Linked DNA regions of Arabidopsis thaliana. The protein of the gene in region 2 interacts with the protein of the main gene of each other region in a biochemical or structural test. Each region holds a gene or a part of one and is shown on either strand. Other genes may lie near its edges.

Region 1 (6,378 bases), on a different chromosome or scaffold from region 2:
TTTTTCCAAGCTGAGGTAAGTTCTTTTGTGTTTGATTAGTATTTAGTAATGTCTCTTGTTCTGAAAGCATTAATGTCTTGAAATCTTCAATGGGTCAGATTGCGAAAAGAAGAGATAGGCTGCTAAACTACATGCTGTTCTTAAGGATAACACCAACACTTCCAAACCTCTTTATCAATTTGTCTTCTCCAATCGTTGACATACCCTTTCACGTCTTCTTTTTGGCGACTCTAGTCGGTCTTATGCCAGCTTCGTACATCACAGTTAGAGTGAGTCTATTGTTCAATCTCATTCCGCTGTTCTTTCGTGTTTAAGAGGCTAACATTTACTTTCATTTACACAGGCTGGTTTGGCTCTTGGAGATCTCAGATCAGTAAAGGATTTGTATGATTTCAAGACCTTGTCAGTGCTGTTCCTCATTGGATCCATCTCCATATTCCCTGCCCTTCTAAAGAGAAAGAGAGTATATGAATGAAGAGTCGAAGACTGAAGAGTATAATCATTTATATAGATATTGATGAGCAGCACCTTTCAGTCGCATGGCAGCATTTCAAAGGTGTTTATGAGCTCAAGATAAAAGAAGAAGATTGTTTCTGCAACATCGCGGAGCTTAAAATCGCTAACTCTGGCTTTGATTTGTTTATTGTCTTCGATTTGAGAGCTTCTCTTACCCCCTTGTAGTAGTAAGTGTTTGTGTAGCTAGTTTACTGAATCATGATTGGCTTTGTATATTGAATACTTGATTCAGAGATCTGACTCTGCAGCCTATTGGCTTATGTATAACAAACATGATTATGTAAATGCTTGAAGACATTGCTTTGACCAAATATGGGTGATTCTGATCATATAATGGTTCTATACGCAGAAAATATGAAGCAAAATTATCCATGCTTATAACAAAATTGAGAAAGTTGCTCATCTACAAAAGTGGAAACGAAAACAAAAAGGAAAGATTCAGTTTTTCTTTTGTGAGTTCTCATTTCTCAATTCCAAGTATATAGATGATTATAATTACTTTGGTGAATCATCAGATTTAGCAGTGCTGCTTGTGTCCTCAACTCCAAAAGCTTCAGCTATATTGAAGTTCAAGTTGTTCCTCATAGTTCTGCTCCTCCCAACACCATCTCCTTTCTTCATCATAGCAGTAAACTCTGAGAAATCAATCTTCCCGTCCTAACAAAACCACATATTTTCATCATCAGTTTTAAACCAAACTCACTAAGAAACAAGACAAAGGAAACAGATCATGAAGGCTTCTTACATTATCAAGATCAATCTCTTTGATCATGTCATCAAGAGGAGTGTCACAGAGACCAAACTCTGTGCAGGCTTGTTGAAGCTCGTCAATGGTGATATAACCGCTACCATCTTTATCAAAGTATGAAAACGCAACCACCAAGTTCTCTTCTCTCTCCATCTTGTTTATATGTAATGTCGCTGCTAGGAATTCACCGTAGTCTATTGTCCCACTGTTGTCTATATCCGCCTGCAAAACACCATTTAAGCTTTGTGATTCCTAGAAGAACGGAGAAATCAATATTCTAAAAGAGAGTTTTTGTTTTGGTATAATTACCGCATCCATAAGAGACTTGATTTCTGATTCCATCAATTCAGATCCAACTCTCTTTAGACCTGCTTTAAGCTCTTCAAAGGTGATTGTTCCACTGTTGTCTGTATCTATCATTTTGAACAATTCCTTCAGACCACCAATCTCTTCCTCCGAGAGTCTCTCCGCGATTACCTAAACCGGGAAATCAGTTCTTGAATATAAGCAATGGCATTGAGAGTTTAAAGAACTATAGCTTTCCAACTTATAAGGCCATTTACTTAAGTTTATTCATTTCCTGAAAATAGTTCTTAAAATGTGTTATCTTAGTCGATCTTCCTAACAGGGAAATCAGTTCTTGAAAATAAGCAATGAGAGTGGAGACTAAAGGGCTACAACTTTCTTACTCGTAAGGCCATTTTCTTGATTTTATTCATTTGCGAGAACTGCTTAAGTCGCGACAAGACTGCTGGGTCGAGAGGCTTGTCTGGTGCAGCATGTTCATCAACAATCCAAGGGTGACCTAATAATATCATCAGAGGAAAACTCAATTCTTATATCTTACAGAAATGAACAACAAAATACATGTAGCAGAGAGGAAAACAATCATAAGTAACAACTTACACAATGCTTCATGTGCAGAAATACGTTTCTTGGGGCTCCTATCGAGCATTTTGTAAATCAAATCTTTAGCACCTTCTGAGATAGTAGGCCACGGATCAGATTTAAAATCTATCTTCCCTTGCAATATCTGCCTAAAGATTCCTGACTCGGTTTCTGCAAACAAATTACTCATGGATGCTTAAATCACATAAGCAATATACTTGATTCAGTAGTAACAACGGTACTAGCTTTCACAAACTTACCTGCCCAAAAAGGAGGAACCCCACTTAGTAAGATGTACAAGATAACACCGGCGCTCCACACGTCTATCTCTGGTCCATAACATTTCTTCAGAACCTCAGGTGCAACATAATACGGACTTCCAACTACATCATACAGATACTGCCCTGAAGATGCAAACCCACACAATTGAAAATTTTGTTAAGCACTGAAATTAGTCGGACACAATGTAGCTCTGATAGCATCATTACATAAGCATAAGTAACACAACAAAACTATGTAAATCTTGCAAGAAAAGATTCAGAAAGATCTAGCCACAGAAAATTATTGGTTCTCTAACAATGCTCAAGCAGCAAATTGGAAATGACCATTCAACAAATGATTCTACAGATAACATATCATGAAACCGATTTTCAACACCAAACAAGACATTTCTCAACATAATCTAGACAATGAATCGAATAAAATCTGATAAGATCGCTTCATAACCATAAGCATATGTTACATATATAACAAAACCTTGCACAATCAACACATCCATATATATCAACTAAATGTCAAAACCAGATATAACAAAATTCAATCTTTCCCTAACAATGCTCAAGCAGCAAATCCGAATCAAGAAACCAAATCAAAACATTTCCTTGAACCAACCAACAAAGACAAAAACCATAAGATTCCAATCAAAAGAGAAGAATCAACAACGAACCTGGCTTGTAGAAGACAGACAAACCAAAGTCTGTAGCTTTAAGCTTAGCATCATCACTGGGACTATCAAACAAGAAATTCTCAGGCTTAAGATCTCTATGCATAACACCAAGAGAATGACAAGCCTCAACAACACCAAGAATAGTCTTAATCAACTTAGCAGCTTCACGTTCACTAAAACACCCTTTAGAAACAATCCGATCAAAAAGCTCACCACCTTCACAAACTTCCATAACAATGTGAACAAAAACAGAGTCTTCATAAGTACCCTTGATTCTAACAACATTAGGATGCTCAGAGAGATGATGCATGATCTGAATCTCACGCCATACATCTTCGTAGTCTTCACGACATACAAGCTTACGTTTTGGGATTGATTTGCAAGCGTAATTAGCTGATGATGATTTCTCTGTACAGAGATAGGTTGTTCCAAATTGGCCTTGGCCTAGCTTTTTGCCGAGGAGATAGTGATCTCTTAATCTTGGTGTTTCGTATGGAAGAACACTGTTTGAGGGTCTTCTAGGGTTTGGTTTCTCCATTGTTCTTGATTTCGAAAGTCTCTGCCTTTTTTTGGTGTTTATCAAAGGAGGAGGAGGAAGATGATACGAAGTTACGAACCCTTCAATGTTTCTTGGTCATGTTGACTCGTCTTATGCAATTATTATATTATTATTGCTCTTTTGTTATCCCGTGACCATTTACATTTATAGTATTTACCAACTATTATTGCAAATTTGCAATAAATTGAATTGATGAAAAAAATCTATTGATCTTGACCAAAAAAAAAAGAAAAAAATCTATTGAAATATAGGGACTAGGCTTGAGATTTTTACACAAATGGTTTGGTCATTTAGGTTCGGATTCGGTTATTAGATGTGAATTAATTAGCAGGATTTTAGATGGTTTTGTTATCCAATTTTTTTTTGTTGTTACTTTTGAATTAATTTTTCTAACCAAAGTAAGTCGGATTATATTAACATTATTAATAAAATCGATAACCAAATCGAATCAAATTTTTTATAATTTGTTTATTAGATCTTAAATACATAAATCCGATAGATCTGAACAAAAAACCAATCAGACTCGACCAAAAACAATGTCCAACAAAAGTATGCGTTACATTTCTCTTATATTTATTAAGATTATTAGGTAAATTGTGTTCAAAAAAAAAAAAAAAAAAAAGGTAGATAACCATTTATAGAGATAAATTTGTGCATGATATTTTTTGCAAGTATCAAGTATGTATGGATTTTATCAATAAAACATGATATTATCAAAAAAAATAACATGATATTTTATTTATGTAAGACATTAAAATATATGTGTAAAATCCATCCACTTAAATTATTTAATAAACAGAAAAAAGGTTGGTTCTCAATTTGGCTACTAAACATTATGTCTTAATTGGGAACATGATTTTTTAAAAATCTATATGATTTTTTTTTCCCCTAAAAATCTATATGATATAAAGAGAAAAGGTCGTAAATGGAAAACATATAAAATTCACCGACATGCATGCACACTAACCACCGAATGGACAAGAACCAATTTCTTCATATCATATTTGGTTTGGTTGAGAGTTCACACGGTTTTCGCAGCTTTTTGCAATGCACGACTACAAATTTTAAACCTCGCTCGTCGTGAAGACCACTCTTTCGTTTTGGAGCAATATTATAAAATAGACGTGGTACATGTTAATGTAAATGTAATTGTGTGAATGTCGTATAATACTATAATTTAACACAAAATTATTTCTCTATAATTGTAAAACAAAGTCCAATCAGCAATAAAATAAAATTTAAACCCGAACTATCTAAATACTTTTAAAAATCCATTTCTAATACTTATTACATTACGCCTTAACGATATTAAAATATGAAAAGCAATGTGTACCGATTCTTTATGGCTCTATCCAATCCATGGCTATGCAATATTCCTCATCTTTTGCAATGAGTTCCAACGTAGAAAGAAAATTTCAGGTATTATTTTGCATGCGTCGTTTTAGTACATGTATTCTTTATTTCATCGCCGTTGGGTAAGAGACCTAGATGTATAAGCTTTAGATATATTTATTTCATTGTTCATCTTCAAAATCTGACATCATTTGGAAAACCTCCAAAATCCATCTTTAACCAAACCCAAATAGCATCGGAGGACACTTTATTCATAAATGATGTTAAATAGATATTTTCTAAATAAAATTGGAACTTTATGCAGGCCCCTATTGGCCCATCTTTAAATAAGCTTGGGCTTTCAGCTTCTGTTTTTTTTTAATAAGATGTTCGTTTGATTATCTAGGTTGCTGCAACAGCGGCAGATGCAAGTAAGTGCGGCATAATGCTGCGGTCAACGCTTAAAAGTTGTATTATATATGATAAATGACAATTATACCCTTATTATGTTTGAGAAACTACAAACAAACCTAACTCTATTTCTTCTACTTCTTTTTCATCATTTCTCTCTTACACTCATCGATCTCAAACTCTTTGAAACCAATCTCTCTCCGCCGCCGCAATCTTGCGAAATATTATCCGGTGACTTGAGCTCAACTAGATCTCCCGTCGTTGGTTACTTCTAATACAACGTTGAATCTCTACTCCGAGGTACTTTCGTTATTCACTGACTGAAATCTCTTAAATATTTTGAGTTTCTTATTTATTTGTGTTCTCTTAGTTACTCTCAGCTTGATCGGTTTATTCAAAATTTCCAAATTCTATGTCTGTTTCTATATAATGGGTCTAAATGTTTGGAACTAATACTTACGGTCTTCTTCACTATATAGGTAGAAATCACTAATACTTTTCGAGGTGGTTGGTCAGGATAAAACTGTTTGAGATATAGTTACAAGATATCAACGGTCATTGAATACGGTAAAAAAAAAAAAGATTGATGATGTTTTGAGTGCTCTTTTAAAGTTTGTAGTGGATACACTAAAGCCACAAGAAGGTGAATTTACGAGAGTAAACCCTGTTTAGAAGAATGATGATTGATATTGGCCTGTTTTTAGAGATTGTGTTGGAGCACTTGATGGAACTTATGTCCCGGTTCGCCGTCTAAGTCAATCTGTAGAAAAATATAAATATAGAAAGATAGAACATATAATGAATGTTCTTGCTATATGTAACTTCGATATGAAATTCATATATGCATATGTCAGTATATCTTGTAGAGCACATGATACAAAAGTTTTGAATCATTGTGCGAGGAATGAACCTTTTTCCCACATCCGCCTAGTGGGAAGTACTATCTTGTTGATTTCGGATATCCCACCAAGACTGGGT
Region 2 (4,400 bases):
TGTATTAGCCTTCGACTTGAGTATTTATAAGCAAAAGGCTCTTCGACTAAAAGAAAAGGAAACTTCCGATTATTTCCTTTTTTCTTCAACCGTTGTTTCCTTTTTCTTATTTGAGAACGTTAGAGGAATCTGGACCGTTTATTTTCATCATGTTTGCAACTGTGAGATCTGACGGTGATTATCTAATCTAAACCGTAAGTTTGTTAGAGATTATGTGGGACCTGGACGATCTATTATTCTATTTTGTTATACCTCAGCTACAAACAAAACAATCATGTATGTTAGGAAAGAAGAGATGGATATATGATGATGATTCTGAACCAATTCTCAATAGTTTATAATGGAACAGAAGCACCAGTGATTGATGATCTAACAGACATTGACATCAGGCTACCAATGCTAGTCTTTCTTTGGGAGATAGTAGCGGCCTGGTTATGAGAATGTTGGAGCCATCAATTGCTTTGGTTAGGACCAGAGCAATCATGTCATTCATCCTCAATCTACAACTCCACGGCGATGAAGTGTCAATAGAATCTTCTATCGGACACAAATGATCTAATTATTCAAACCACAACATTGTCTTCTTTGATGTTAATATATAAGTCTTGCATCTTATTTAGAGTGTTTGTGTTTGGTTCCGGTTGATCTGTGTAACTGTCTTTATGTAATCACACAAGTGTATGCTGTCTGGTTAGTCGGAGACAGAGTAAGAAGACATCCTACACATGACATTGGAGAATTATAAGGTAAAATCTTGAACCATAGATTTCTAAAGACTTTTGAGAACCAAAGTAAGGATTGTATTGAACATTACAAGTTTCATTGGGGAATTTCCACAAACACCTTAGCTGCAAATAAAAGCATTAACTAACCAACCTACAAGACATTCCAAAGCAGCAAAGATCGAAACTTACATAAACCCAAATCCGTAAATCGAAAAACCCATGAAATCCCAGTTCGCAGAACAACAAAATCATCACTCTCCTCGAGCTCTCTCACCTCTAATCCTTCTCGCTAATTGGATCTCTTTAGGCATGATCGTCACCCTCTTTGCGTGAATCGCACAGAGGTTTGTATCTTCGAATAACCCAACAAGGTAAGCCTCAGCAGCTTCCTGGAGAGCAGCGACGGCACTGCTCTGAAACCTCAGATCCGTTTTGAAATCTTGAGCGATCTCACGAACAAGTCGCTGAAACGGAAGCTTTCTGATCAAAATCTCGGTACTCTTTTGGTATTTCCTAATATCTCTCAACGCAACAGTTCCTGGACGGAATCTGTGTGGCTTCTTCACTCCTCCCGTTGCTGGTGCAGATTGTCTCGCCGCTTTTGGCGCTAATTGCTTCCTCGGAGCTTTTCCTCCGGTGGATATTCTAGCAGTCTGCTTGGTACGAGCCATATAGAAAGAATCAACTGGTTAATTTTATTAATTCTGGTTTTGATTTCTCGAAATTGTTATAGAAATTGAAAAGTGTTGAGTTGGTTATGTGGAAAAGGAGATGAAAATGTGGAGGGAGTTTTCAAACTTTGCTAAGGAAGGAGAGATTTTGATCCGTTAGATATCGAACAACATAAACGCAAAACCTAATCCAACCCTAAAACACGAAATTAGGGAAAACGAAAGATATACATAAGCATAACGATCACAGTCTAGAGTACTTCAATCTCCTTCTTAAGCCCTCTCGCCTCTAATTCTCCTCGCCAATTGAATATCCTTAGGCATGATAGTGACTCTCTTAGCATGAATCGCGCAAAGATTGGTGTCTTCAAACAATCCAACGAGGTATGCTTCAGCCGCTTCCTGAAGTGCTGCGACGGCGCTGCTCTGGAAACGCAGATCTGTTTTGAAATCCTGAGCGATCTCACGAACCAAACGCTGGAACGGAAGCTTGCGGATCAGAAGCTCAGTGCTCTTCTGATACTTCCTGATTTCTCTTAGGGCAACAGTTCCAGGACGGAATCTGTGTGGCTTCTTTACTCCTCCGGTCGCCGGAGCTGATTTCCTCGCCGCCTTTGTTGCGAGTTGTTTCCTTGGGGCTTTTCCTCCGGTGGATTTCCTTGCGGTTTGCTTGGTACGAGCCATTTGGTATCCGAAGCTTTGAGATTTGTGATTAAGTGTTGAAGATTTGTGAGATTTGATGAAGAAGAAGAAGATGTTGAGACTAAAGGGATACTGGATTGGTTTTTATAGCGAAGCGTATACAAGGGAAGTATTTGTTTTGCGTCGTTAGATCTTTTATTTAATCAACGGTTGTGATTGTTTTAATTTTAGTGATCCGCGTCACGTCTAAAGCAGCCAATCAGGTTAGTTTTCTTTAGCGCCCAAGTTTTTTAGCTTCCTTCACAATTTTTTAGTTTTTTTATTTAGGCGCGTCTTTTAAACCTTTTCGCTAAATTTTGGAACCTGACAGTGAAGGCCTCTATGAAATAAAAGCCCATGTTGTAGAGTCTAGGTTAAGCCCGTTAATATGTTGTGTATCAGTCCACGAAATTATAATCTTAGTTTCTGCTGATGTGGCCCATGTAGAATACATAAGTCGAGAAATAATAATATCATTGACGCACGTTAACTATTATTAACGTGTGAGTGGTGTAAAATCAGCCAATCAGGCTTTAAATCTAGATACAAAGATTGAGAGTTGAGTTAGTTGATTGATTTGAAATTGATTACTGAAGCAATAATGTTTTATATTTCTTACATTTCTGTTTATTTAATAATACGTGTTATACTCACAAATTAAAGTGTCTGTAATTTTGTATAATGTGAATACTTACAAAATGTGTTGAGAAAACGTCATTTTAAAAGTTTTTTTAGTTCAATTTTCACTTAAAATAAATTGAGAGATAAGTCAATTAATAGAAATCTTATCCATATACGTATGTAAATGTTGTCAGATTTTCTTAATGAACTTTTTATCAAAAATATATCATAATCAAAGTACTCTAGATAGAGGTAAATTAAACCTTTAGTATTCATTTATGAAACTTTAAGAAAATAACATTAAATTTAGTTTATAAATAGATAAAATAATAATAAATTAAATAGTTATTGCAATAAAATCCATGTGTATTTAATTTTCAAAACTGAATATCTAATTAAATCCTGGCATGAAAATTCCATCTAATACACATGTTCAATAGATGACTATTATACAACATATATATTTGATACCTTACAATCAAATCAAACCAAAAACACATTGTGAAACCTATAAACATTATTAAAGCAAAGCCACATTGCTAAAGTTTCATAACATTGGAATAGAACAACTATATTTCAAATGGGAAAATTAGCGACCTTGAATGGCATATTGAAAGACGAAGCCTCACAGATGAAACTCAATGTGGTTCATTTGTGTAGCTCCGTGAATGCCAAAACCATTGATTTAGCTCTCTTGAAAGCCACGTCTCATACCTCAAACAACCCGCCTTCAGACAAATACGTCACTTTTCTCCAATCAACTATTGACACGTGTTACGGTCCTGATACTGTTGATGCGATCTTGCATAGGCTGCGTGTGACGACGGACGTATGTGTGGCTGCTAAATGTCTCATTCTTCTCCATAAAATGGTTAAATCAGAAAGTGGGTATAATGGAGAAGATAGTCTTCGGAACAATATTAATCATCGTACTTTGATTTATACTCAAGGAGGGAGTAATCTTAAATTGAATGATCTTAATGTAAATTCATCTCGTTTTACTAGAGAGTTGACTCCATGGGTTCAATGGTAAGATTTCTATATACTGTTGGATTGATTAGGATATAGATGAGCACAATCGATAAGTCGATTATTCTTTATTATATATTTTTGTTTTTGATTTAACGTTAAATCACAATTTAATCGAAATTTTTATGATTCATCAAAATTTGGTTTTGAATAGGTACAAACAATATCTAGATTGTTACTTATCTATTGCGGAGGTTTTAGGTATTACTCCAAACATAAAAGAAAAAAACGAAGATAAGCGTTTGGAGACTCAGCGAGTCTCGTCTTACCCAATGGATTGCATTCTCAAACAAATTGATTTCCTAGTAGAACTATTCGAACATATAAGTGATAGGCCAAAAGCTCCACAGTCGAAGCTGAACAAAATCGTTATTGAAATGACAGAACTAATGGTACAAGACTACTTCTCCGCCATAAGATTGATGAGGATAAGATTTGAAGAATTGAACGTAAGAGTAGCTAAACCTAACGAGTTGGTTCCGGTTTTGGAGAAGCTTGAAAACTGCAAGGAGGGTTTGAGCGAGTTTTCTTGGCGAAGCAAGTATTTGATTGCAGATTTTTGGTATTTGGTATCGAAATTAAAAGATATGTAACGCTTGATGAGAAAATAACAGTTTGGTCCGGTTTGGTAGTTAAAATCTTATTTTATCATAGATTGTCCGTACACCTGGTT
Region 3 (6,290 bases), about 20 Mb from region 2:
TAGCTGCACATCACTAGTGAGTATCTCAGGTTGCTTCAACCAATATTGTCTGCGAAAGCTTGTAGCTAGCAACTGTTACAAATTGGATCAAGCAGCGCAGATTCTCATTCACCGTAACTTGAAGCTAGAGTCAGCAAAACCAGAACACTCTTATTTTCCTGGAAGTGACATACCCACTTGCTTCAATCACCAAGTCATGGGTCCTTCGCTGAATATACAGTTACCTCAGAGTGAATCATCGTCTGACATTCTGGGATTTTCTGCCTGCATCATGATTGGAGTTGATGGACAGTACCCGATGAACAATCTGAAGATACACTGCTCTTGTATATTAAAAGATGCTGATGCTTGTGAGCTGGTTGTTATGGATGAGGTGTGGTATCCTGATCCAAAAGCTTTCACAAACATGTATTTTGGATCAGATCACCTTCTCTTATTCAGCAGAACCTGCACGTCCATGGAAGCTTACAGCGAAGCCCTGTTTGAATTCTCAGTCGAAAACACAGAAGGAGATTCCTTTAGCCCGCTTGGAGAGGTTAAAAAATGTGCGGTACACCTTATATCACTCAAAGACATGATGCAAGAGTTCTCTAATGACTCTGACAAAATTCAGAGTTCTGATTTGGATCTTCCAAAGGCATTTGATGACGCAAGAATTTTGAAAAGAAGAGCATATGAAACTGAGTTCTTGCATAAGGAACAACTAAATCCCAAGAGGATCAAGTTTCTTCCAGTTCCTTTGGCTCGAGAGCGTCATTCCAAATTACATCAGCGAAATGTCATACGAAAGTAAAAAAAATTACTTGGTTTGCTTGTAAACATAATTATTATATATTGATTGATCACATATATTTTGATAACATCAACATATCATGAACTTGATCTTTGAAGAAGCAAGTACAAGAAAACTTCCGCTATAAGAAGCAAAGGTCCAAGTAACAAGATTTACTATGATAGAGATAGAGAGTGAACACAACGAACCCGAGGAGATAAATTACAATCTGAAACCTCCCGGAGACGCGATACAAAATCCAATTGTCGCTACCTCGACTCTACATGTTGCACTGCTAGAATAAAGAAGCCATCTAATCTTTTCTACCTACAAGGGCTGTGTACAAACAAATTCTTACCATTCCGGATGATTTAAGGCGTTCGATTGTACTTGAGATGTTGCTCATAGAATTCAATCAGCTGGTGTGGGAAAAACAAATTAGAAAAGCTAATAAGAAACTTCCAAATGAGTAAGTGCAGAAAAAAAAAGCTATAAAGATAATCTTACGAGATGAGGATTGTGAGCCTTGAGAAATCTGTTGTCCACCAATGCTTCCTTCCCATCAGACCTATGAGAGTAACCAAATAAGTACAATTGTACAAATATGAAATCAAATTACGAGAAATGACCAAAGAGCTAAAGAGACAAACCTCAGCGCTAAAAAGGTCACCAACACTTCCTGGACATTGTCTGATACAGATGCTGTAAAACTCATTGGTTTAAGTATCTTCGTGATGTCCAACTCCTCAATCTTGGTTTTCTGAGACAAATTACAATTTTCCATCACACCAGGATATTCATTCCCCATCCTTGCAATCCTACCAAAAGAGTCTAATGTAGTCAAATCTGGTGTCAGATTCTGATCTGTAGGTGCTGTGTGGTTGTTACTTGTGGATCCATCTTGTTTGAATCTTTTCACAGAACCAGACTTCCTCCGCTTAGCACCTATGAAACGACTGTTCTTATCAAGCTCCTTAGGATAAACCTTGAGAAGGCCATTGGGTCTTACATTATCACCTTCAGAACCAATGCCTCCTCCTTGAGAACATCCTGCACCGTTACTATTGTTGACTGGTCCTCGTAGCTCGTTAAGTGTTGGATCATATTCTTTCTCATTGTCAATCAAACGAACTTGTCGGGCCATCCCAACACTCCCACTGTTGGCTTCAACTTGGTTGGATACATAAGCATTCTTCGCTTCCACATCTCTATTTAATAGACTCGAACCGCTTAGGTCTAGTGGATCAGGAATGTCAGGAAGGCTAGAGTTGTTGAGAGACGTAGAAGAGTCAGATTTCTCAGTAGCATCATGTGATGTAGATGTTAAACGTTGCTTCTTCTTCATCTGAGAATGAGGACCTGCATATTTGCGCTTCCGTTTCCTACCAGGCTTTCCTGGCTTCAAACTTTGAAACATATGAAACAAGAAAGCAAATCCATACATTAAACCAAGAAAATCCATGAAACAATCAATTCAAAAGTATCACAAAACTTTTATATAAGATTCCATTTACTTACCTTCCCTCAAAGGCATCTATAACATCAGCAATAGACTGGAGATTCTCTAAAGGCTCCCATGTGTTGGCAGTTTCAGGCCATCCGCGCCTTTCACAACCGAGTTTATAACTTATGTCAATGGAAAAACATATGTTTAATCAAGAACAACAAACTTAAAAATGAAACCAAGTAAGATTAGAAAAACTCACCATTTAATTAGATACTGAACCTTGCCCTACAAATACAAAAAAAAAAACAGTACCAAAATGCAGAATCAGAATCATTCAATCAATCAAATCCAAGAAGATATCAAACATTAAAGATCATTTTCTTCCTACAACATATAACAACCACAGAATCAAAACTTTGGTTCGTTATAAACTACTCTGTTACGATGATTACTAACTACTAAAGCAGCCACTTTCTCACACCAATGTGTAACCTACGTTTGATACTTATCTTAAACCTAGAAAACCTAAAACCTCAACTAATTATGGTTAACAAAAACAAACCACATTTGCTGAGTGAAGACGAAAAAAGGAGCTTACTTTTCGAACTCTCTTACGACGAATAGCTTCAATTTCATAAAACCCTTCATCAAGCTTTGGCCTTTCCTCTTGCCCACCTTCTCCTTCTCCTTCTTCATCTTCCTCATCACCTCCATCATCTTCATCCTCGTCCTCTTCTTCTTCTTCATCTCCATCCTCCGTAGGCCTATCATCACCAATCTCGCGAAGAATCGACTCTCCACTTCCACCTCCACCTCCCCCTCCGCCGTCGTCACTGCCAAACCCACCGTCTCCACTAATTTTCCGGCTTTCTCCGACTGTTTCCACCGCCGTCTCCGCCTCACCAGCTTCGTTCAACACCTGGGGTTTCTTCTTAACAGCACCACTTGCCCCTTTCATTTCCTGAGTATTCGAGCCTCCCAAACCTGAAGGAGGAGGGTGAATCAAGGTAATCGCGTTCTCTTCTCTTCTTCTCCTTTTTAGAAATCAAGGATTTTGGAGGAAGAAGATGAAGAAAGATTGAAACTTTTTCTCTATTTCTGAGGTTTTTGTTTTTGCAGGAAGAAGACCTGACCTGACCTCAAAGACCAGTTTTTTCACTTTTTTGGATTCTCTTTTTTTTTTTTTTTTTTAATATCACAATAGGAAAAGTTGAATACAGCAAATTCTTAACGTTTATAATCTAATTAGAAGAGATTATTTCTAATTACTAATATGAAAATAATAAATACTACTGAAGAAAATATGTGAAGGTAAATTAAATCGAAAAATATATTAAACTGAAAACATTTTCTTTAAATTAGAAATAAAAGAACATCGTGCTCTTGCTCCTTTTACAAGGAAATCAACTAGGACATTATTACAACTTAAAAAAAAATCAAAGGAGATTGAAAAATCAGAAAATAAGTCTCATAAACTAAGATTCTCACTCCAAGTCTCCAAGTGCACTGCAAAGGCAGACAACTTAGTTGGATCTCCTAACATCATCATCAATAATTTTCAGCAATATCTCATCCAAACCAACAGAAAAGAAAGTCCTTCTCCAAGATAAACTTCATCGAGATTCAGATTCTTTCATTCCAAAGTATAGTTATCTTGATAGTAACTATGTGATTACTGCTCGAGTTTTAGCCTCAACTTTTGGTGGGCTAAAGTTCTATTTTCTTCAGTTTAGTGTGTTTGTTCTATACTTTGTCCAACCAAAACTTGTTTCTTTGTGATTAGTACTTGTACACTAAATGATGCATGTTTTGATCGCTTTGTTAAATTTGAATTGTTACTATAAAATTTGCAGTTCTTTTTTTGTTTAAACGTTAGAAAAATAATAATTACTATTATTATTTAAAATGGTGATATGAAAGAAGTAAAAAGGAAGAAAAAAAACATTCATTAGGATCGGTTCATAAATAGGGGGAAAAATGGAACGTTTTGACTTCAACATAAATAAATGAGTATTTTATTTGATGGTGAGCTTATGAAAGTTTGTAACGTTTCCTCGAAATATATATGAGAATATTTTTTTTGTAAAAATTCACGATTACAAGCACTCAAACAAATGGAATTTTTTTCCCCACACACAAAATATACATCCATTAAAAAATCAAGAAAGAAGTTAAAATTTCAAACCTCCCACAATTTTTTTTTTGTTTAGAAAGAGTATATCCGAAGAACAAGAGAACAACCTTTTTCTCTGATAAAAGAAAAAGTTCATCCTTCTTAACCTTTTTCAAAGTTATGAGAGTTGCATTAACCTAATAATGCAATCTCAACACCGATACTTCATTCTTAGGGAATGCAAAACACAACCACAATACAACATAAATTATTCTTTCTTTTTTTATAAAGAATTTCTTAAAAGATTTCTTTAAATTAACTTAGTTGTATGTTCACTTTCTCTCTTCATCTCTTGTGGAGATAGTAGTCGATTGTACAGCAGGTAAATTTAGAGTCCACGTTTTCATACGCTCGTTTGTCTTCTTAACCTGTAATTAGATAAAATTATACATTTAATATGACGAATTTTCTAATAAAAATTTTGAGTTATATATTAAAAGTAAATTACCTCCAATTCCCAGTCAGTTTTGTAAATAACATAACACAATATCAACGTTTGGATACCAACTCCAGCCAACATTCCGGACCAGAGTCCCTGCATACAATATCATTTATTCAAGTTAAAATTCTAAAAGTTCTAATGATTGATCATAATGAAGTACTGGATACCAGTTTTCATATATATGATGTACCTTAATCCCAAAATTGAAAACGTAAACAAGGAGGACACCTAAAGGAACACCAATTGCATAATAAGATGCTAAGTTCACTAATGCTACCATACTCTGCATCCCTGCTCCAATTGCTACCCCTGTTTATATATGTTCAAACAAATTTAGTGGTTACAAATTAGTGAAATCTAAAAGTTTATGTTATAATTTATTTATGTCTAATATAAGGGTTTTATTTTGTAACCAGATAGAATGGGCTGGATGATGTTGAAGAGTATAGATATGCTAAGGACGATGGAGAGATCAGCTACTGCATCCGAAACTGCTTGGCTATCAGAGAACAAATACGAAATCTGACCGCCAAACGCTAGGCAAAGAGCGGAACATATCACACCGATCACCGCTGATACCACAAGCACCACTTTTATCGAGAATCTCACCGCATCCGCATCGCCTTTTCCCAATTCATTCGCCACTCGTACACTACATTTTCGGATTCATAGATAGAGAAACATTCACTTTAGTATTAAACAAATAATATATGTATACATCAAAAACAAAATACTGTGAATGAGAGTACGTATATAGTTACAAACCATGCTGCACCCATCAAGCCAAAGCATATGTTCATCTCCCATGAGTAGATATATTGGCTGCAAATTTTGAATTAAGTATTTAGTTTTCATATGTATATGGAAAAAAAAACTTCTTCGGATTTAAGTAATACCATATGGAGAAAGCGGAAATTGCGATATTCGCATCCTTTGCATATCCAGACATCAAGACAATGATGCTCATATACCAGTACTCTAAGCTGTTTGAGGCAATAAATAAACAAGAGAAGCAAAAGAAGAGTCATTAGAAATTTGTATTAGCCTATTAGTAGTGGTCCACGCTTAATAATCATGTTTTAATCCCGCGAAAAAAATTAACAAATAAAAGCAAGTTACCAAAGCATGAAGCCGGAGGATATGGATAACTTGAGCATGGGAATAAGATCAAGAAAAGCAGCAGTGCTAAAGCCGGTCCAAGTATGCGGGCACCACCCTCCAAACACATATACAAACTCGGCTATGGCCACCGACCATGAGCTTATATTAAGCCCTAGAAGCGCACCATGGATCCCCATCCCCATCACGCTTACGCACCACCACGTGGCCGCAATGTCCAAGACCAAGGCTAGGGTCGAAAGAATGCCTATGATGGCGTTTTTCATCTGCGCTTGGAGGTACATTTGCATTGTCATGGTGAACACGATGCTGTAGAGATAAGGAATGACCCATGGGT
Region 4 (6,583 bases), on a different chromosome or scaffold from region 2:
ACAATCAAAGTAACAATCTCTACAGATTCGGAAACCACACTCACATCTCCCGTGAACAACTTTCTCATCACAACCTTTTAACCAGCAGATCTGACCTGACTTCTTCTCCGGATCAGCTCTATCCATAGAACAATCGATCACATGACCACGTGTCACCGATTTAAACCCACCGGTGAAAATCGTCCCAGAGAGGAAACTTTTTTGATTCGAATTCCCTTTTAGCATCTCGTCTTCTTCACTCTCCTGTGAAGCGAACACCGTCTGATGATCCGGCGTAGGTGGGATATGAACAGTATAGCTCAGAACGCACTCTGAATTAGTCGTCTCCGCCGTTAGATCTTCCACAGACATAGAACAGTATCTTCCTTCATCACCGTTAGATCTCCGATTCCCGCTGCTAATGGAAGTGCGACGCGTGGCTCTTGAGCTTAGAGGAGAGTTTTGGTTGGTGATGACGGAGGCGCGTGGGATAGGACTCGTCAATCCTAAGCTTCTGTCGCCGGATCCTTTACATGGTGTCACCGTTATAGTCACCGGAGATGGTGACTGAGAAGCTGCTGATTTCACCATCTTTGGTTCACAATTAGCAGTGAACCACAAAAATCACGAGAGAAAAAAATCAAAGATTTAGAAGGAAAAGAGTAGTTCTCAAACTTGAAAATCAGAAACTCAGAAGAAGAGAGATTTTGAATCTAAGGAAGAAGAAGAAGAAGCTGAAGCAGCTAGTACGAAGCAGAAGAGCATTATAATTTTCGAAATTCAGAGAGAGAGAGATATAGAGATTATAAAGGAGAAAGGTATTGCTATAAACGGTCGATAGATCTAAACCGTTCATTTTATTCACGTTGCTTCATGTGAGATCGGACGGTGATTATCGAATCCAAACGGTAAGTTTGAAAAGATTACGTGGGACCAGGTCGATCTATAAAGAAGAAAAGTCAAATAAACGGAAAATAATAAAAGAGAAAGAGTGTGTGTATCTCTCTCCCTTTCCGTAACGGTCAAATAAATTTATATTGGAGAAGCTGTTTAAAAATAGTAATATGCTTTTTTCTCATCCCATGTGGTTTGATAATTTTGAACTCATTGGTATACAATTTTTGCATATTATCATCAAATGATGTATAGAGTAGCTGATAAAAATATTATTTGCTCATCATCCCATGGGGTTTGATGATTTTGAACTCATTGTCGTTGGTATACATTTGAATAGTATTATTTTGATATACTACTCGAGTAGATCATTATTCCTTCTGATGCACTGGTAATTTTATATACTAATCTGCCCATTAAACATATAGTTCTGTACTCATAAAACTCAAAAGATTTTGAACACATACTATTATAATATGTTTTCATTCGTATATTCAAAAGATCAACTATGTAGCATATTTACAAATCAAGAGAAGTTACTATGATCATTAATAATTGAAAAGGGAGAAGAGATAATTAAAAATGACTAAAGTTATTTTAAAAATAAATTCTTACTAATACAGTGGAATTTAAAACGCCGAGACAAACACGATAACGACGTTTAAGTACTTTCAAAATCGAGACGGAACATAGTATAATAGTTCTTAGATCATCATTATTGATGATCTCTTAAAACAATTCTTATGCTAAGAGACATGTTTTATAACTAACAAAATTTCTTATATAAGAGACTTTAAGTCACTTTTGTTAATTATAAGACATATCTCTTAACATAAGAGTTATGTTAAGAGACCATCAATAAGGATGGTCAGGATGGTCTTAGGTCTCGTTACAAAATACTACAAAGAGAAGATTCGCTGCACATACTTACAAGAACACGTCATTAGGCACAATTTCCTAACCTTCTTTCTTCTCCATTTCTTCCACTGCTTTGTATGTCGATACAAAAAGCACACTCTGATTCTTCCTCAAGAACCTGCTTTATCATTTTGTTTTTGTTATTTGTCTTTAAATACTTGTAAAAAGAGTTAAGTAGGAGAACAAGAAGAAGAAACCTGAGAATATCAACAAAGTTGTCCTGCAATTCCTTCAATGTCTCTTCTGCCATATTCACATGTACTAGCAACTCCGGTAATTTCACTGCAAAACTCAATATTTATATAGTCTTATCTTGACAACTAAACCACATGATAAAGGCAGATTTGCAGATTACAAAAACTGGCCTTACCAAAGAGTCGCAACAAATGCTCTGCTCCGTACACAGTTGAAGGAGAAACACCCCCTGATACGGATTCCTCGTACTGCTTCCGTTCATTGTTGTAAAGCAACATCACCGGTAAAGCTTTGTCAAAGTAGCAACGCAAGCCTTTCAGAATTTCCTCTAATGAATCTGTTACCCTATATAGATTCACCAAAGAAAGTACTAGATATATCAGAAGCTTGGAATACGCTTTATCTGTCAACCAAATTATCCATGGAGCATATACAAATGATTTATACTCTCTTTAAGTATATGAGAATAGCAACAAAAGAGATTAACAAGTGTAACTGTTGGAAACTGACAGCAGAAAGAAACTATAATCCACAAAGAGCTTACCTGCCATGTTTCTTCATTTGGCTGTCAATGTACTTCTTCAAGATGCCATCCACATTTGGAGAACGCGGAAGTTGCACAAGCTGCTCAGACAATTCCCAAAAATGACTTAAAATAAATTCCTTAACATATGCACCTAAATATGACATTCACAACAAATATATTCATGCGACTACAAGAATATTTTTTCTCTGACTAAATGAATCAAAAGACTATGGTCAACTGCGTCAAAACACACAGAAAAGACCGTTTGAGAATTGAGAGAAGAAATAACAGGCTGATAGAAATACCTTCTGCATCTGAGTAACAAATTCAAAATCGTCAAGAAGTTGCTTCCTTAATGCTGGTGGAATATTGAAACTTAAAAGGTTGTCAGAGGGAAGCACATTCTTCTCCTGTATTCAGCAAACAACAAGACATGAGTAAGACTCCCCTGATTAAAAAAATCCCTGGATATTTGGAAGCTGAAAGATTAAGCAAATACATCCACTAAAGGAGCGATTACCGTATCAACAGAATCTTGCTTCCGCTTTCTTCCTCTAGCAACTGCAAAAATTAAGAAAATATTGAACAAAATCTCAGCTGACACAATATCTCAACTGACACAATATCTCAACTAACAACGAAAGATGTGTATGTATACTTTAATCTCAACAACTTCTACTTAGTCGACATAGAATAAAGCAAGCAAGACCAAATGAGAGTCCCTGATAGAGACTCTGAATATCCACAAAAGCAGCAAGATATCCATCGAGACAAGAATATGCAAAACAAACAAAAGAAGAAGCTGACTGACCATTAGGGCTTCTAGGTTTCATCTTTGACACTTTCCAAGCCATAGCACTCTTAATCCCTTGCTGTTTCAAACCCTGTTCTTTCTGTTTCTCAATATTCTCATCTGAATGTTTCAACAGACAGTCCAGCCTTATCCATTCGTCCCAACTATCATTGTATAGAAGAGATACAAGAGTCAAAGACTTTTTTACATTATCAAAAAACTGAGACTTGGCAAACAAATCAGTAAATCACCATATGAAGAATTCTCTTATTTATAAATAGTTTCAAATGATTTCAAACCGATTAGAAGCCAGTAACTATATTGGATGAAGCTCTAACCTTTTGTTCCAACCCTGCCAAAAGAAATCATTTACATCTTCAAAACTAAAGATAGAAGCAAAATAGCTCAAAAGAATGATTTTAAACATATACAGTATCTACTTACAATGTAATGCACAAAATATTTCCATTCATTGTCTTTAAATTCAACTTTAAGAACCTGAGAATATTATTATAAAAAAAAAAAAGGAAACGATCAGAGACATAAAGCATAAGCAGAGAAGAACACTCTAATTCAAGAATACAGAGAGTGTATTTCACTAACCTTGGCTTCGTAGAAGCAATCACTGTGTTTGGCTAAAACTCTCTCTCCTTCTTCGAAGTGGCCGGGAGGAGCAGGTAGCAGAAGAAGAGGCAAATCTTCTCCGTCACAATCGGTGTTGGTCTCTGTATCAGAACCAGAGTCCCGTCGTGTGTCTCCGATGAAATCATCGGTTGTTAGATCCGTCTCGGCGGCGGCGTTAGGGCTTCCCATCTCAAAAAGAGGAGGAGAAGAAAAGAGTAAAGAGAGCTTAAGAGCCCTTTCGTCTTCTTCCACGGCTCGTCTCACGTCGAAGCGACAAAGGTAAATGACAAAAAAAAAAACTCACTCAAAGTTGTTGAATCTCAACGCGATTTTGTCTGAAAATTTCCGGGAAAATTGGGATTTTCCGTCTATCAGAATCTAAAAATTCTCAGATTTTAACATGGGCTTTTATTATTAGGCCTACAAGCCCATTTAAATAATTTCAAAATCTTGACTTCAAGCCCATTTATATCATTTCAAAATCTTGACTTTAAGCCCATTTATATAATTTCAAGTCAGGCCTTTACTGATAATTAACTTGGGGAGCAATGCAATAACAGTAACATCCTTACAAGAAAAGGACAAAAACACCCCTGAGTTAGCTGAGAAAAAGGCTCAGTGCAATGTAAGGGTATAATAGTAGTTCACTCTTACCACCCGAAGTATTCTTGTCCATTAAGACTCGGCGGATTAAAAAAAGGTTTGGCCTTTCCGTGGAGTAGTTTCTTGACATTTTCTTTCTGCTATCTCTTACACAATTGGGTATTTAGCTGACACGACGAAGAAGGTCTCTCATCAATTATCTGAGATTTTTACATAAGAAAGGCTCCGACAAAGCAGATGGAAGACGATATGTGGTGCGTTAGCTCATCTGGTTCTTCTAGAAGCTATCGATCGGAAACTGCTGCTAAGTATCAATCAGGTTTATTATCCAAATCCCCTCAATTTTTCTTTCAAACTTCATTTTTAGGGTTTATGATTGAAGATTGGTCTTAATTGGGTTTCGATTGAGTTGAGTTCTGTTTTGATGACTTTTTGTAGTTGGTCGTTTAAGTTAAAAATTGTAGCTTTACGTTTTGCTTTTTAGATGAGAGAAGACTTTTTTTTTCTCTTTTGCTCTCGAGTTAATTAGTGGTGAATATTTCAGGGCCTTATCAAGATTTGGAAGAGTTTGAAGAAGTTGACGACGATATAGCAGTGGAGTATCCATGCCCGTTTTGCGCAAGTGATTATGATTTAGTTGAATTGTGTCACCATATCGACGAAGAACATCGTCATGAAGCTAACAATGGGGTTTGTGAATTCACTTCCTATCTCTCCTGCTCTTTTCATTTCACACTCAAGCTTCACATGAAGCAGTTTTACACAGCTTAGTTATTCGGATTGTGGGAAACATAACTTCAATCTATAATTTTGATTAGGATTTGTTTTAGATTGATGCGTTTGAGAATCTGATTGCTATTGCAAATAGTTTTAATAGAGAAACATGCCACTCTTATCTTAAGTTACTCTTTGGGTTTTACATAACTCTCCATTGATCAGTTTAAGGTTTTAGGATATTAATACTTTTGACACTTTTTTTGGCTTTACATACTTGCTATAGAGAGTAGGTGACTTGAGCTCTCTGTTTTGAAGCATAGATTGGTTTTACGAGCTAAAGAAATGAATATATAAGTAGTATGATGGAACATTATTAATCTGGTTCCGTGAATTGTCATGTGGTAGCATCATCTTACAATTCGTTTTGGTTGTTTTGTGGTTTTTGTAGATATGTCCTGTATGTAGCAAAAGGGTGAAGATGCATATGGTGGATCATATAACATCACATCATAGAGATGTCTTGAAGATATCCTTTTTTGTTTCTTTTCAAAACCTTTCAAGTCAAATTTCCGTCGCTATAATGAATGTGATTTATTTGAAATTCCTTGACCGATAATTTTACAGTGAGCAGAAGGAAATGTCTTACAGGGAAGATCCATATTTATCTGATAAATATCTTCAACCTCATCTTGATGAGTTGCCACCATCTATGAATCATCATCAGCATCCCTCTAAACATGTTTCCGATCAATTTTTATCGTTCATCAACAATTCTGCATTACCAAATCAGACCAAGCTTGTGCTGCCTGATTCAAGTGTAGAAGACAAGAATCCGATTAAGGATTCGTCAGCAGCAAAAGAGGGTACATCGTCGTGTCCTTTATCGGATAGTGATAAATTGGAGAAGGCAAAGAAGTGTGAGTTTGTACAGGGACTGTTGTCATCAGCCATGTTTGATGATGAATGTGACTCTTCTGAGTAAAATAAAGATGTGAAGTCGCCAATGGGAAAGGCAGGTGATTGTCATTGTTGTAATTTTATTCAGCTCTATTTATATATATGCATCTTTTTTACAGACATAACACTAGCTTTAGCCTTATAATATAAGCTGATGAGTTTTCAGTTTGTTTCTTCACAAGAATCTTTTGTCGCAGAGCACCGTCCTTGCAAATTTCTTTCCTGCATCTAGTTAAAATTGGGATGTGTTTTTTTTATATGAGTATAACAATAGTGTGAATATAGTCAACAAGCCCGTCTAGCTCAGTTGGTAGAGCGCAAGGCTCTTAACCTTGTGGTCGTGGGTTCGAGCCCCACGGTGGGCGATGCAACTTTTT

The links.
Region 1: of the proteins of AT5G65360 (region 2) and CPK4, one has a biochemical effect on the other in vitro, tested with the Arabidopsis thaliana proteins (one study listed by BioGRID).
Region 3: the proteins of AT5G65360 (region 2) and TFL2 interact in a test that uses a peptide from one of them, tested with the Arabidopsis thaliana proteins (one study listed by BioGRID).
Region 4: the proteins of AT5G65360 (region 2) and AT1G02740 are reported together in a solved structure, tested with the Arabidopsis thaliana proteins (one study listed by BioGRID).

Annotation. Positions count from the first base shown.
Region 1 is NC_003075.7:6,046,818-6,053,195, reverse strand, and holds CPK4 (calcium-dependent protein kinase 4), read right to left. Parts: upstream 3,756-6,378; 5' UTR 3,637-3,755; coding exon 3,099-3,636; intron 2,557-3,098; coding exon 2,413-2,556; intron 2,324-2,412; coding exon 2,171-2,323; intron 2,070-2,170; coding exon 1,954-2,069; intron 1,742-1,953; coding exon 1,574-1,741; intron 1,487-1,573; coding exon 1,262-1,486; intron 1,174-1,261; coding exon 1,012-1,173; 3' UTR 816-1,011; downstream 1-815. Other genes in the region: AT4G09580 (SNARE associated Golgi protein family), read left to right, coding at 1-15, 99-269, 344-475. UniProt on the Arabidopsis thaliana protein: May play a role in signal transduction pathways that involve calcium as a second messenger. Functions as a regulator of the calcium-mediated abscisic acid (ABA) signaling pathway. Phosphorylates ABA-responsive transcription factors ABF1 and ABF4 in vitro.
Region 2 is NC_003076.8:26,118,430-26,122,829, forward strand, and holds AT5G65360 (Histone superfamily protein), read right to left. Parts: upstream 2,153-4,400; 5' UTR 2,081-2,152; coding exon 1,670-2,080; 3' UTR 1,430-1,669; downstream 1-1,429. Other genes in the region: HTR11 (histone 3 11), read right to left, coding at 977-1,396; AT5G65370 (ENTH/ANTH/VHS superfamily protein), read left to right, coding at 3,279-3,727, 3,882-4,320. UniProt on the Arabidopsis thaliana protein: Core component of nucleosome. Nucleosomes wrap and compact DNA into chromatin, limiting DNA accessibility to the cellular machineries which require DNA as a template.
Region 3 is NC_003076.8:5,826,361-5,832,650, forward strand, and holds TFL2 (uncharacterized protein), read right to left. Parts: upstream 3,401-6,290; 5' UTR 3,178-3,400; coding exon 2,818-3,177; intron 2,505-2,817; coding exon 2,479-2,504; intron 2,399-2,478; coding exon 2,291-2,398; intron 2,179-2,290; coding exon 1,423-2,178; intron 1,341-1,422; coding exon 1,280-1,340; coding exon of another isoform or gene 1,262-1,279; exon of another isoform or gene 1,192-1,261; coding exon 1,144-1,191; 3' UTR 811-1,143; downstream 1-810. Other genes in the region: AT5G17680 (disease resistance protein (TIR-NBS-LRR class)), read left to right, coding at 1-793; AT5G17700 (MATE efflux family protein), read right to left, coding at 4,665-4,760, 4,841-4,927, 5,025-5,143, 5,248-5,486, 5,600-5,656, 5,731-5,817, 5,954-6,290.
Region 4 is NC_003070.9:597,904-604,486, forward strand, and holds AT1G02740 (MRG family protein), read right to left. Parts: upstream 4,297-6,583; 5' UTR 4,119-4,296; coding exon 3,909-4,118; intron 3,804-3,908; coding exon 3,750-3,803; intron 3,658-3,749; coding exon 3,644-3,657; intron 3,470-3,643; coding exon 3,324-3,469; intron 3,074-3,323; coding exon 3,033-3,073; intron 2,923-3,032; coding exon 2,818-2,922; intron 2,611-2,817; coding exon 2,531-2,610; intron 2,332-2,530; coding exon 2,162-2,331; intron 2,074-2,161; coding exon 1,989-2,073; intron 1,910-1,988; coding exon 1,831-1,909; 3' UTR 1,427-1,830; downstream 1-1,426. Other genes in the region: CSLD5 (cellulose synthase-like D5), read right to left, coding at 1-570; AT1G02750 (Drought-responsive family protein), read left to right, coding at 4,770-4,851, 5,077-5,222, 5,698-5,775, 5,872-6,231. UniProt on the Arabidopsis thaliana protein: Chromatin remodeling factor. Acts as a 'reader' protein by binding to H3K4me3 and H3K36me3 to control histone H4 acetylation. Increases the transcriptional levels of the flowering time genes FLC and FT.